Linked DNA regions of Macaca fascicularis. The protein of the gene in region 3 interacts with the protein of the main gene of each other region in a pairwise test. Links are inferred from orthologs where the notes say so. Each region holds a gene or a part of one and is shown on either strand. Other genes may lie near its edges.

Evidence for each region.
Region 1: the proteins of TRIM69 (region 3) and FKBP1B interact in binary tests that used the Homo sapiens proteins (3 or more experiments, as listed by UniProt). The two-hybrid records come from large-scale screens. The link is inferred for Macaca fascicularis from reciprocal best matches to the Homo sapiens genes TRIM69 and FKBP1B.
Region 2: the proteins of TRIM69 (region 3) and IYD interact in binary tests that used the Homo sapiens proteins (3 or more experiments, as listed by UniProt). The two-hybrid records come from large-scale screens. The link is inferred for Macaca fascicularis from reciprocal best matches to the Homo sapiens genes TRIM69 and IYD.

The regions. Positions count from the first base shown.
Region 1 is NC_088387.1:98,225,282-98,229,030, reverse strand, and holds the start of FKBP1B (peptidyl-prolyl cis-trans isomerase FKBP1B), read left to right. Parts: upstream 1-940; 5' UTR 941-1,048; coding exon 1,049-1,085; intron 1,086-1,279; exon of another isoform or gene 1,280-1,554; intron 1,555-3,749. UniProt on the Homo sapiens protein: Has the potential to contribute to the immunosuppressive and toxic effects of FK506 and rapamycin. PPIases accelerate the folding of proteins. It catalyzes the cis-trans isomerization of proline imidic peptide bonds in oligopeptides.
Region 2 is NC_088378.1:58,537,487-58,541,235, reverse strand, and holds the start of IYD (iodotyrosine deiodinase 1), read right to left. Parts: upstream 2,385-3,749; 5' UTR 2,365-2,384; coding exon 2,187-2,364; intron 1,707-2,186; exon of another isoform or gene 761-1,706; coding exon of another isoform or gene 748-760; intron 1-747. UniProt on the Homo sapiens protein: Catalyzes the dehalogenation of halotyrosines such as 3-bromo-L-tyrosine, 3-chloro-L-tyrosine, 3-iodo-L-tyrosine and 3,5-diiodo-L-tyrosine.
Region 3 is NC_088381.1:21,340,615-21,344,363, reverse strand, and holds the start of TRIM69 (E3 ubiquitin-protein ligase TRIM69), read right to left. Parts: upstream 2,670-3,749; 5' UTR 2,561-2,669; intron 1-2,560.

The DNA.
Region 1 (3,749 bases), on a different chromosome or scaffold from region 3:
TTCATTCATTCATTCCACAGCACTAATCACTCCATGCGGTAACTCTGTGTCCCCATCTCTCTCAGATTTAGTACCTGGAAAACAGCCATTCTGTCTTAATTCAATTGGTATCCCCAGGGCGCATTTCTTTGCCTTGAAAATTGAGTACCCAATAAATGTGCGTCGAGCAAAACTACATGAGATGGCGAACAGGGGTTTAAGGGTATGGGGGAGAGTCAGCAATGACTGGTGTTCTCCCTCCCTCCCCGAGCTCTGCTCCTACAGATCCAGGACGCCTAGCGAGGGTAGGAACCTCTTCGGTGCTTCCGCAACGCTCTGAACAGCACGGCACTGAGCGCATCTAATTAAAGTGATGGTTTCATTAGATAGCAACTCAGCGAGACCCTGTTTCTACAAAAAATAAAAAATTAGCTGGGCGTGGTTGCTCGAGCCTCTAGTCCCAGCTACTTGGGAGACTGAGGCAGAAGGATCGCTTGAGCCTAAGAGTTCGAGGTTGCTGTGAGCTATGATCGCGCCACTGGGCTCCAGCCTGGGCGACAGAGCAAGATCCTCTCTCTAAAAAAAAAAAAAAAAAAAAAACAAAAATAAAATAATGGTTTAATTGCCGGCCTTTGCCCCTTCTGCCCCCCACCCCCCACAAGTCTGTAGGACCGGGTTGACTTCCCAGAGCTTAGTACAGATTAGATGCTAAATAAATGTGTGTTGGACGGATGGGCGAATGAATGGATGGATGGAGGATGTGGTTGTGCTTACCATGCTCCCCGGTCAGTGGGTTAATGTCGTCAGGCGGGGCCAGGCTCGCTAACAGCCGGGCGGGGTCCCTTCCCCCGGGCCCCGCCCCGGCCGACCCCACCTTTCCGCGCGGCTCCGCCCCGCCGCCCCCTTCCCAGTGGCCCCTCCCCGCGCAGGTCCCGACTCCAGCCGCACCTCCTCTGGCTCTGCAGTGGCGGCGGGGAGGCGAGCCGGAGCGACTGCGGGGCCGGGACCGGAGCAGAGCCGGGGTCGGGCAGCAGCAGGGACCCCCGGAGGCGGGGCCTGTGGGACCGCTATGGGCGTGGAGATCGAGACCATCTCCCCCGGAGACGGTACCGGGCTCCCTCCGGAGCCGGGGGAGGGGAGGGGTCCCCGGGCGGAGCCCGGAGGGCGGGGGTCTGATTCGGAGGTGGCGCGGAGGGTGCTGAAGGGTCGGGGGGCTGGATGGGGAGGGCAGGCGGAGACCCCGGACGGGATTCTTGGGGGTCTAGGAGACCATCCTCCACCATCCTCTTCCGCGACTCACCTAGGGGAATGTAGGTGGCAGCCTGGAGGCGGGGGTCTGCGGCCCGGAGCCGGGGGTCTGCGGCCCACCACCCCGGGCTGCTCCTGTCGCCGCTGCTACCGTTCGGTTATCCGCTGCTGCTGATACCCCAGGCTGGGTTTCGGCTTAGCTTTCCCTGCCCTGCTCGGCGAGCTCTGGAAAGCAGGACCTGCTCTCGGGTCTCCGCTGCTCCGGGACCTCCTCCTAGCGCGTCCCCCGCCGGGCCTCCTGTCGGTCGCTTCCCTGTGGGCCGGGCTGTGAGCGGCTGTGGGGACAGACCCAGGCTGGGAAAGGGGGAAGCGCTCCCTTGCCGGCTTCCGGATCTCGCTTTATCCTCCCGCCGCGTTCAGACTCCCTGGCCACCCTGTCCACTCCCATGGCCTCCACATTGAAGCTTCTAAGCCCAGCCCTGCGACCTGCGGCCGGACCTCTCCCTGGAGGTCCCAAGGTGCTCCCTAGTCAGCAAATCCAAAACAGAACTTGCGCTTCCCACCTTCTCCCCTAAGTGATCCTTCTCATCCCCCTTCCTTATCTCACTTTCCCAAGCCCTTGTATTACTGGGTCTGGGTGTGCAAGGAATAGCCATTTCTTTATTTCTTGAAATTTAATTCATACCAAAGCTCCCATTGTCTGCAGGGTTTGATGGGCAAACTTCATATCAGATATTATTAATATGAACAGCTCCCCTGCCCAGGAAATTGGAGAACTTCTTGGCTCCAGGCCATGCTCCTTGTCCAATCCCAACCACTACTTTGGATATCCCCTGGGGTACAGGATTCTTTGCCCACGCAGGAAACCTTGATGCTGGGTCCCAGAAAGCGTCTCCCTGAGGCCTTTTCATCCCCCAGCAGCCCCTGAGCTAATCTCCCCATCTTCAGCCTCTCCTCCCTGCCTTCAATCTCATCCCCAATCTCATATTCACTCCCTTTCTACATCATAGCCTGAAGACTCTTCTTAAAATGTGGTGGCTCATGCCTGTAATCCCACCACTTTGGGAGGCCGAGGCGGGTGGATCACAAGGTCAGGAGTTCAAGACCAGCCTGACCAACATGGTGAAACCCGTCTCTACTAAAAATACAAAAATTAGCTAGGCGTGGTGGTGCATGCCTGTAATCCCAGCTACTGGGGAGGCTGAGGCAGGAGAATGGCTTGAACCCAGGAGGCAGAGGTTGCAGTGAGCCGATTGTGCCACTGCACTCCAGCCTGGGTGACAGAGCGAGACTCGTCTCAAAAATAAGAAGAAGAAGAAGAAGAAGAAAACAAATGCATATTTGACCATGCCCCTCCCTCAGGTAGAAGATGTTTTAATGATTCTTCCCTCTCCCCCAGGCAGAGGGGCCTTTGGTGCTGTGGTCTATTCTCATCTTCCACACTAGAGCTTCATCTCTCACCACCTGTCCTGAGCCCACCACCAACTTTTTCTCCAGCTTTCCCAAGCTGCCTGCAAGTTGTTGAACACACCACTCATTCAGCAAATATTTATTGAACGTGTGTGCTAGGCCCTAAGGTGACAGCGTTGAAACAGACAGGGTCCCCGCTATTGCTGGACTGAAGGCCTTTGAACATGTTACATGTCATTCCCTCTTCCCAGATGGTGTTTTTTTACTTCCTCTGGCAAATTCTTACTTGTCTTTCAAGACCTGGCTTCGCCATTCTCTCCTCTATGATATTTTCCTTGACTTCTGCAGTCAGTTAGCTGCTCCCTCCTCCAGGCTCCCATAAAGTCCTCTAAATGTTGGCTCTGTGGTTAGCCTTCCTTAGGCTTTGTTATCTAGCCCCATAGCTTTAAATTCCAGCCAAATTTATATCTCCAGTGCAGACTCTTCATCTGCCTACTTGCAATATAAACTCAGATGTCTAATAGGCATCTCAAGATTGCCACCCGCACAAATCTGTTCCTCCCGTCTTCCCTATCTCAGGAAATAGTTCCACTATTCATCCAGTTGCCCAAACAGAAAACCCAAGCATCGTTCTTGTTGTCTCCTTTGTCCTCATCCTGGACCCCATTTCCAATTTGATTGCATGCCCTGTCAGCTCTGCTTCCAAAATATGTCTCCAGTCTATTTCACTCTCTTCTCTGCTGCCACCACCTTAAATCAAGCTATCATTGATTTCTTGTCTGGATTATTGCAACAGACGCCTTACTGTCCATCCTACACATAGCAGTCAGAGTGATGTTATAAAATCTTAATTCGGATTATGTCATTCTCTGGCTTAAAACCCTCCAGTGGTTTCCTATTGCACTTAGTATGAAATCCGGCTCTGCAAGCCCTGTATGATCCATCTCCTTCCCACCTCTGTCCTCCCTCCCTTCTTTCCACCTAACCTCCTTGCTCGCTGCAAATGGATTGATTCTGTGCACTTGTTACTCCTTCCCCAAGTGCTAATTCCCAGTATTTTGCTCATCCTTCAAGTCCTAGCTCCAGGGGCACCTTCTTCAAGAGGCCATCCT
Region 2 (3,749 bases), on a different chromosome or scaffold from region 3:
CTTTCTCCCAGGGGAGAGGCAGCCCATCAAACAGCTATATGTCTGCACCCTACAGCCAGACTGCTTGGGTCCTGTCTCTGCAATCACCTTCCTGGGCTTACCCTATTGGAGCCTCAGTTTCCTTATCTATAATATGGGGATTCTAATAGCGCCTACCTATTAGAATCGTTGTACTGTCATGAAGATGAAACGATTTACTACACATAAAATGTGACTCTGATTGCATACAGTAAGTGCTATTAATATATAAGGGCTTGTTACTGTTATGATCCCAGAGCTCCCTTTCCCACAGCTTCTCCCTTTCTCTAGTACATTTCTCTTCCATAGTTCCTCTTAACTGCACGTGTCCCCCAAGTTCTATCTTCACCCTTCTCTCTAGCAATGCTCTCTTTGTGGATTCATTAGTTGCCCAGGTTCCAAGTATCTTCCCCATACTGGTGACTCTCCAGTCAGTATCTGTGGCCTGGGCCCCTAACCTAGACCGCTCTCTCTCTCCCTTTTCTGCTCAGGTGTGTCACTGTCATCTGAAATAAAACATGTCCTTGATGGAACTCAACATCTTCCCCTTTAAGCTGGATCCTCATTCCCTCACCCACTTATAATAGCTTCCAGCTTCCAAGTCTCCCTCTCTCTACCTTTTCCCAATACCCAGTTTATTAGCAAACCCTGTTGCTCTTCCATTAACTTCACTCTGATCCACCCCTTCCACTGCATTCCCACTGCCCCCACCATCCGGGCCATCCTTACCAGCACAAACCATTACCCAGCTTCACAGCAGATGTCCCCTGGATTAAAAGTGCTTCTCTGCTGGGTAGAACTGATGTTCTGAGTGGAAGAGCTTTCAATGTAGGAGAGCAAGAGGCAGCCCTGCTGAGGGGCTAGACTCCTGTGCAGTGCATTCAGGCTCCTAGCACTGAGGGCCAGCTGGACACCCTGTGCCCCAAAACTGAGATTAGGACACACACTCATGCACACATACTCTCACAAACACACGCATACACACACACACTCATGCATGCTCACACACATTAATGCAGGCACACATATACATGCACACGCACACTCACACTCATCCACACTCTCATGTACACACACTCACACATGCACATTAATGAACACTCACATGCACACTCACACACACACACACGCGCACACACATACACTCTTATGCACACACACACACACTACATGCACACATACATGCACATTCATGAACACACACACACTCACACACACTCACATGTCCAGATAGACTCTGTTTGGGGATAGGGGCATCATTAGCCCAGCTGAAGATCACAGAGCCTCTTCCAAATCAAACCCATCCCAGACAAAGCTTCTCAAACACTGATGGCTCAAGCCTCTTCCACAGTCTCTCTCTTCATACCTGCCTCCTTCATCACCTCTTCTTCTCAAGGTGGCCGTAACCCTCCCACCCTCAATTCTCTACTGCCATTCTTACCCCTTCCCTCCGCCCTCGATTCTCCACTTCCTCTCTTACCCCCACCCCAGGCCTCCCGGTGCTCCTGCTTCTTCTGCCCCTTGTTGCCTGACAGGCCTCCCAGCACTTGCTATTTGTACCCTATTCATCCTCCCAACCCAGTTTGTCCTTTCCCTGACTGCACTGTCAAACTCCCAGGCCTGCTCTAAACACCTTAGAATCAGTTCCACTGGGTCTGTCTCTTTGTTACTCTCTCTGATTCTCGTGTATCACCTTGGCAGCTGAATTGGACATTCAGTGTGTTGAGGACAAAGGCCACCCCAGTCCTTCATTTCCAGGGCCTGGCACAGGGAAAGGTGGCAGCCTCCTAGGTGATGACACTTGGTAGATTTCAAAGTTCCTAATCAAAACCTGGCCACTTAGACCCTGCCCACTGCCAGCCTGGGATGAATCCCTGCAGAAAGATTTTAACAACCAGAATGGAATTGGAGCCAGGGAAAACTTTAGCCTCTCAACAGTGTTTTCACTGAGTATCCAAAATAAAAAAGGGTTGGTCCCAGCAGGTGACAAGCTCATCACTGGAGATAGATGATCTGTCTGTGCCAGGCACTGATTCATTAGCAGAATAGAGGTTGATGCTAAAGCTGGCCTATGTGTGTTTATTCCTCTCCATAAGCCCTGCCATTGACTCACACTCATCATCAACACATACGACAGCGAAGCTAAGCAGCATAGCTGGTATATTTACCTTCTTCTGCTTGGTACAGGTCACTGCTGTCTTTTAAGTCTTCATCCACCCAGGGGCGAGCCTCGGCTATGGCTCTAGGCTCCCCCTTCTTTTTCTCCATGTGTCTATCAGCATTTTTAAAGATCCACACAACCAAAATGCAGAGAATGGCTACCAAGATGGGAGTCACGAAAAACATGGCCCGGAGTCTGATGCCACAAGCATGCACACTTCCTACACCGGTTTTAAAACACAGAGACAGGAGTGGAGAATGTCAGGAGATGGAAGGAATGCAGAGAGAGGTGTGCCAGGGAAGGAACAAAGTGCAGAACTCTTCAGCTCTATGAGGACTTTGCAAAGGAGCAAAGATCACAGTCACATGTGTGGGGTGTTGTTGTGGCTTTGGTCATGCACCAGTGCATTCACTTTTTAAAAGTATGTACTCTATCAATATATTCTTAGAAAACAATTGCCAGAATCTGAATAAGAACTTTCATGTGCTAGATCTAGCTAGATTACCTGAAGAACTTTTTTTTTTTTTTTAAATAGATTTCTGCACACCAACTCAGATCTGCTGGAAGAAAATGTTCAGGAAAGAGGTTTGGCACCATGCGTTTTAAATGGCATGCGTTTTAAATGGCATGTTTGTTTTGAATTTTTTTTTTAATGATACCCGAGTCAATATATAGAGTAAAGAGAATATCATGTTTTGCATCAGAGAAAGACTTTGATCCAGGAAAAGTGACACAAAAAATTAAAGTGACAACTTGATTATTTATGTGATAAATTCAGTAGGGCTTTTCATTTGTTTGTCTGTCTCTTTTAGCAAGTGCCTTAGTCAGTTATGGTTGAAATAACAAAAATACTATGGACCGGGTGGCTTAAACATTAGAAGTTTATTTCTCGGCCAGGTGTGGTGGCTCATGCCTATAATCCCAGCACTTTGGGAGACTGAGGGGGGTGGATCACTTGAGGTCAGGAGTTCGAGACCAGCCTGGCCAATATGATGAAACCCTATCTCTACTAAAAATACAAAAATTAGCTGGGCATGGTGGCACATGCCTGCAATCTCAGCTACTCAGGAGGCTGAGGCAGGAAAATAGATTGAACCAGGAGGCGGAGGTTGCAGTGAGCCGAGATTGTGCCATTGCACTCCAGCCTGGGCGACAAGACTGAAACTCCCTCACAAAAAAAAAAAAAAAAAGAAAGAAAGAAAGAAAGAAATTATTTATCATAGTTCTGGAGGTTGAGAATTCCAAAATTGAGGTGCTGGCAAGTCAGCTCCTAGTGAGGGCTCCCCTCCTGGTTTGCCAACAGGTACCTTCTTGCTGTAACCTCACATGGTGGATGGTGGAAATAGACCATCTCTCTCATCTTTTTTCTTATAAGACCACTAATCTCATTAATGAGGGCTCCACCCTCATCACCTGTTCACCTCCCAAAGCCTCAACCTCCAAATACCATTGTATTGGGAGTTAAGGCTCCAACATATGAATTTTGCAAGACATATTCAGTCTTTAGCATCAAGGCGCAAAAGTATGTATAACATGATGCCATTTGGATAAAACAGAGTGGAAAATATGA
Region 3 (3,749 bases):
TGGCCACATTCTATAGAGTAGATGTGTTGTATACTAAGTTCAATCTCTGAGTATCCATCCACACAAACTTGACACTGAATATAATCACGTAGTATATGATAAAAAAAATTTTTTGCAAGGAATTATGGTGGGCAGTGTTGTTGTATATGCATCTCTGTCCCTCTTCAACCCCTCCTCAACAGTGTTCACCACACAACTGCCAGTTTGGTCTTGGAGTGACCTTGTGTTTGCTCTTGGCCTCCTCCTTTGTTCAATAATCACAACAGAGTCATGGTGAGTTAGGTCAATCACTACAGGTTCTAGAGATTCACAGGTGAGGTCAACTACTTCATTACTTTCCCCAAGTTCTATCAGTTCTGCATCCAAAGCTATGTTAGGAGTTGGGCCTCCTCTGGCTATAGGGAATGCTCAGGCTTGTCTGGAATTCACATGCTGTCACAGCTTATTATAGTATTCCATTGTGCTTTTTGGATTCAGTCTTAGGGAAGTAAGTGATCTATGCCAAGGTTTACTGCAAATATTAAAAGTCTTCAATGTCTCACTGCTGTTGTTCAGTCACTCTCTGATTTATAAGAATTTAGAGGTCAGATTTCCTGGCATATATGAACTCTTATTCTGGGTCCAGTCCTGTCTTCACCTCCACAACTGCTGTGCTCCCACAGGGAGTGGGTCTTCTGGGAGCCACCTGTAAGATAGTTCGATCTGAATTTTTAATGGAAAAAAAAATGAGAGAAAAATTAAGCTTTAGTAATGTCTAAATCAAGGTTGATAGTAGTATATGTATAAAATGTATAGCTATATGTAGAGAATGTATACCAAAAATTTTTTATAGTTATGCATTTGAACAAAATTTGGAGACCACTGCTGTTGAAACTGAGTGCCCCTCCCCATTCCATGACCTGATGATAGTGGGGAGGAGGAGTCCAAGGGGCACTTACATGAAGAGAAACACAGTATCATTAAACACTCAAGAAAGGGTTACTACTTCAATTAAGAGCTTTTTCTTTTCTTTTCTTTCCTTTTTTTTTTTTTTTTTTTGACAAACAGCCTCACTCTGTCACCCAGGCTGGAGTGCAGTGGCACAATCTTGGCTCACTGCAACCTCCGCCTCTCCGGGGTTCAAGCAATGTTCATTCCTCAGCCTCCTGTATAGCTGGAATTACAGGCGCATGCCACTACACCCGGCTAATTTTTTGTATTTTTAGTAGAGATGGGGTTTTGCCATGTTGGCCAGGCTGATATCAAACTCCTGACCTCAAGTGGTCTGCCTGCCTCGGCCTCACAACGTGCTGGGATTACATGCATGAGCCACTGTGCTTGGCCCACTCACTCATTTTTTATAAAGTAAAAATGGGAGACCAAAAAATCTCCTTACACACTCCTAACAGCAAATAAGAAATAAACCGTTTAGTCTACTTGCAGGTTCATCTTGCCCAGTGTTTTCTTTCTAACAGAGGCAACAAATGGAGTTCTGAAAAATTTATTCCAGATTGTCTTCTAGGAAAGAGAGGATGGAGTTCAAGCATTAGCCTTAGAGAGGCTTGGTTTGGGTCTAGGCTCTGTGACTTTTGGGCACGTGATCTAGAAGTTAAGATGTCAAAATCACAGCATGTAAATCTTTGTAAAAATTAATTAGCTTATAATTTTTAAATAATGCGTAATTAGCCATTAGGGAAATACAAATCAAAACCATAAAGATACCATTTCATATCCACTAGAATGGTTATAACAAAAAAGATAATAAGTGTTGGTGAGGATGTAGAAAAATTGGAACTCTCATACACAGTGGTACATTCAGCTTTGGAGAACAGTCTAGTAGTTCCTTAAAAGATTAAACATAGAGTTACCATATCACCCAGCAATTCCACTCCTACATATATACTCAACAGCATTGATGAAAACCTATGTCCACACCAAAAATGTATACATGAATATCGATAACCACATTTTATTCTCAAGAGCCAAAAAGTGGAAACAACCCAAATGCCCATTAACTAATGATGGATAAACAAAACTTAGTGTACCTATACAGTAGAGTATTTATTCATGAATAAAAAGGAGTGAAGAGCTGATCCTTGCTACAATATGATGATCTTTGAAAACAGAAGCCCGTTACAAAAGACCACATATTATATGTTGCTGTTTCTATGAAATACTAATAGGCAAACCCATAGAGACAGAAAGATTGGTGGTTTCCTAGGACTAGGGGTTTGGGAGAAATGGGAGTGGCACCTAACTGGTACAGAATTTATTTTGGGAGTGATGAAAATGTCCTAAAACTGAGGTGATGGTTACACAACCCTGTGAATATACTAAAACCCACTGAAATGTGCGTTTATATGTGCGTTTAAATGTTTTAATGTATGGTTTGTGAACTATATCTCAATAAACAAAGATGTAAGCTGCCAAAAATGTTACACAATACAATGGTACACGAACTGGATTTAGATCGGCAAACCCTAGAACCTAGTGAGGAAATGAGAAGCCCAGCAGGAAAACGGGTGGAGCCCAGAGAAGGGCTTAGGGCTCTGCGCTCCCCTGCATGCACCGGCCTACTTACCGAGGTGGTACTTCTCTTGGGCCCCACAGACACCTGCCTCTCCCCCGATCGCTATTCTCAACTATTTGCGTTTCGCGACCGGCCTGCCCCTCCTCTTTCCCGCTCTGCCTAGGAAAAAAGAGCCCTCGGAACGAAGCTGGGCAGCCCCAGAAAGCAGTGCCCATCACCTTCCAGCTCCATCCATGTACCCAGCAGCCCATCAATGACCTAGCTATGTTGTCTGTTCCACCCAGTCCTGCCCGGTAGTTATTCAGCAATGAGGGAGTACGAAGCGTGCGCTCCAGTAGTGTGCCACTTTCCCGGCCCTCCGTGGCTTCCCAGTCCTGGACAGAGACCCGAGCGAGCCGAACCCGGGTACCCGGCTACACTGGGCTGGGAAGGAGGACCGGGCAGCCACAGGCCAGGGAGGGCAGTTGGAGAGCGATAGAAGCAGAGGGAGCGGGAGGCAGAGGAGAAGGTACTCAACGATGGACGCGCCCAGGCTGGGCGGCGCCCACAGAGCAGAGCCAAGGTCACGAAGCAGAGCGTCACGGTGCAAACTCCCAGAACTGAATAGGCTAAAGCGCTAGCTTGTCACCCTTTTAATTCGCTTTTACAGTTTCCGAACTGCCCAATCAAAACCCGAGCCCAGGGTCGCTCGTCACCGGTCTCTGGACAAAAAGCGCTGTTTCAGATTAGAAATCAAGACTTTCCCGTCCTGGTTTCTCTTTCTTCAAAGCCAGCTGCTTTCCGAGAAAGGGTGAGGGTTGCTTCCTTCACCCCACCCCACGCAGTGATGAGATCAGCAACTTCTCACTCTATAGATGGGTGATTCTCTGGTTGTTCCAGTGAAGTCATTTGGAGTATTTATTAAGAGGCTGAGGGCCAGAGGTCGCAGTCTACATGCAAGCACACTTAATGTATAAAAAAGCAGCCGGGCGCGGTGGCTCACGCCTGTAATCCCAGCACTTTGAGAGACTGAGGCGGGCGGATCACTTGAGGTCAGGAGTTCGACATCAGCCTGGCCAACGTGGTGAAACCCTGTCTCTACTAAAAATACAAAAATCAGCCGGGCGTGCTGGCGCGTGTCTGTAATCCCAGCTACTCAGGAGGCTGAGGCAGGAGAATCGCTTGAACCCAGGAGGTGGAGGTTGCAGTGAACTGAGATCACACCACTTCACTCCAGCCTGGGCAACAGAGACTCCGTCTG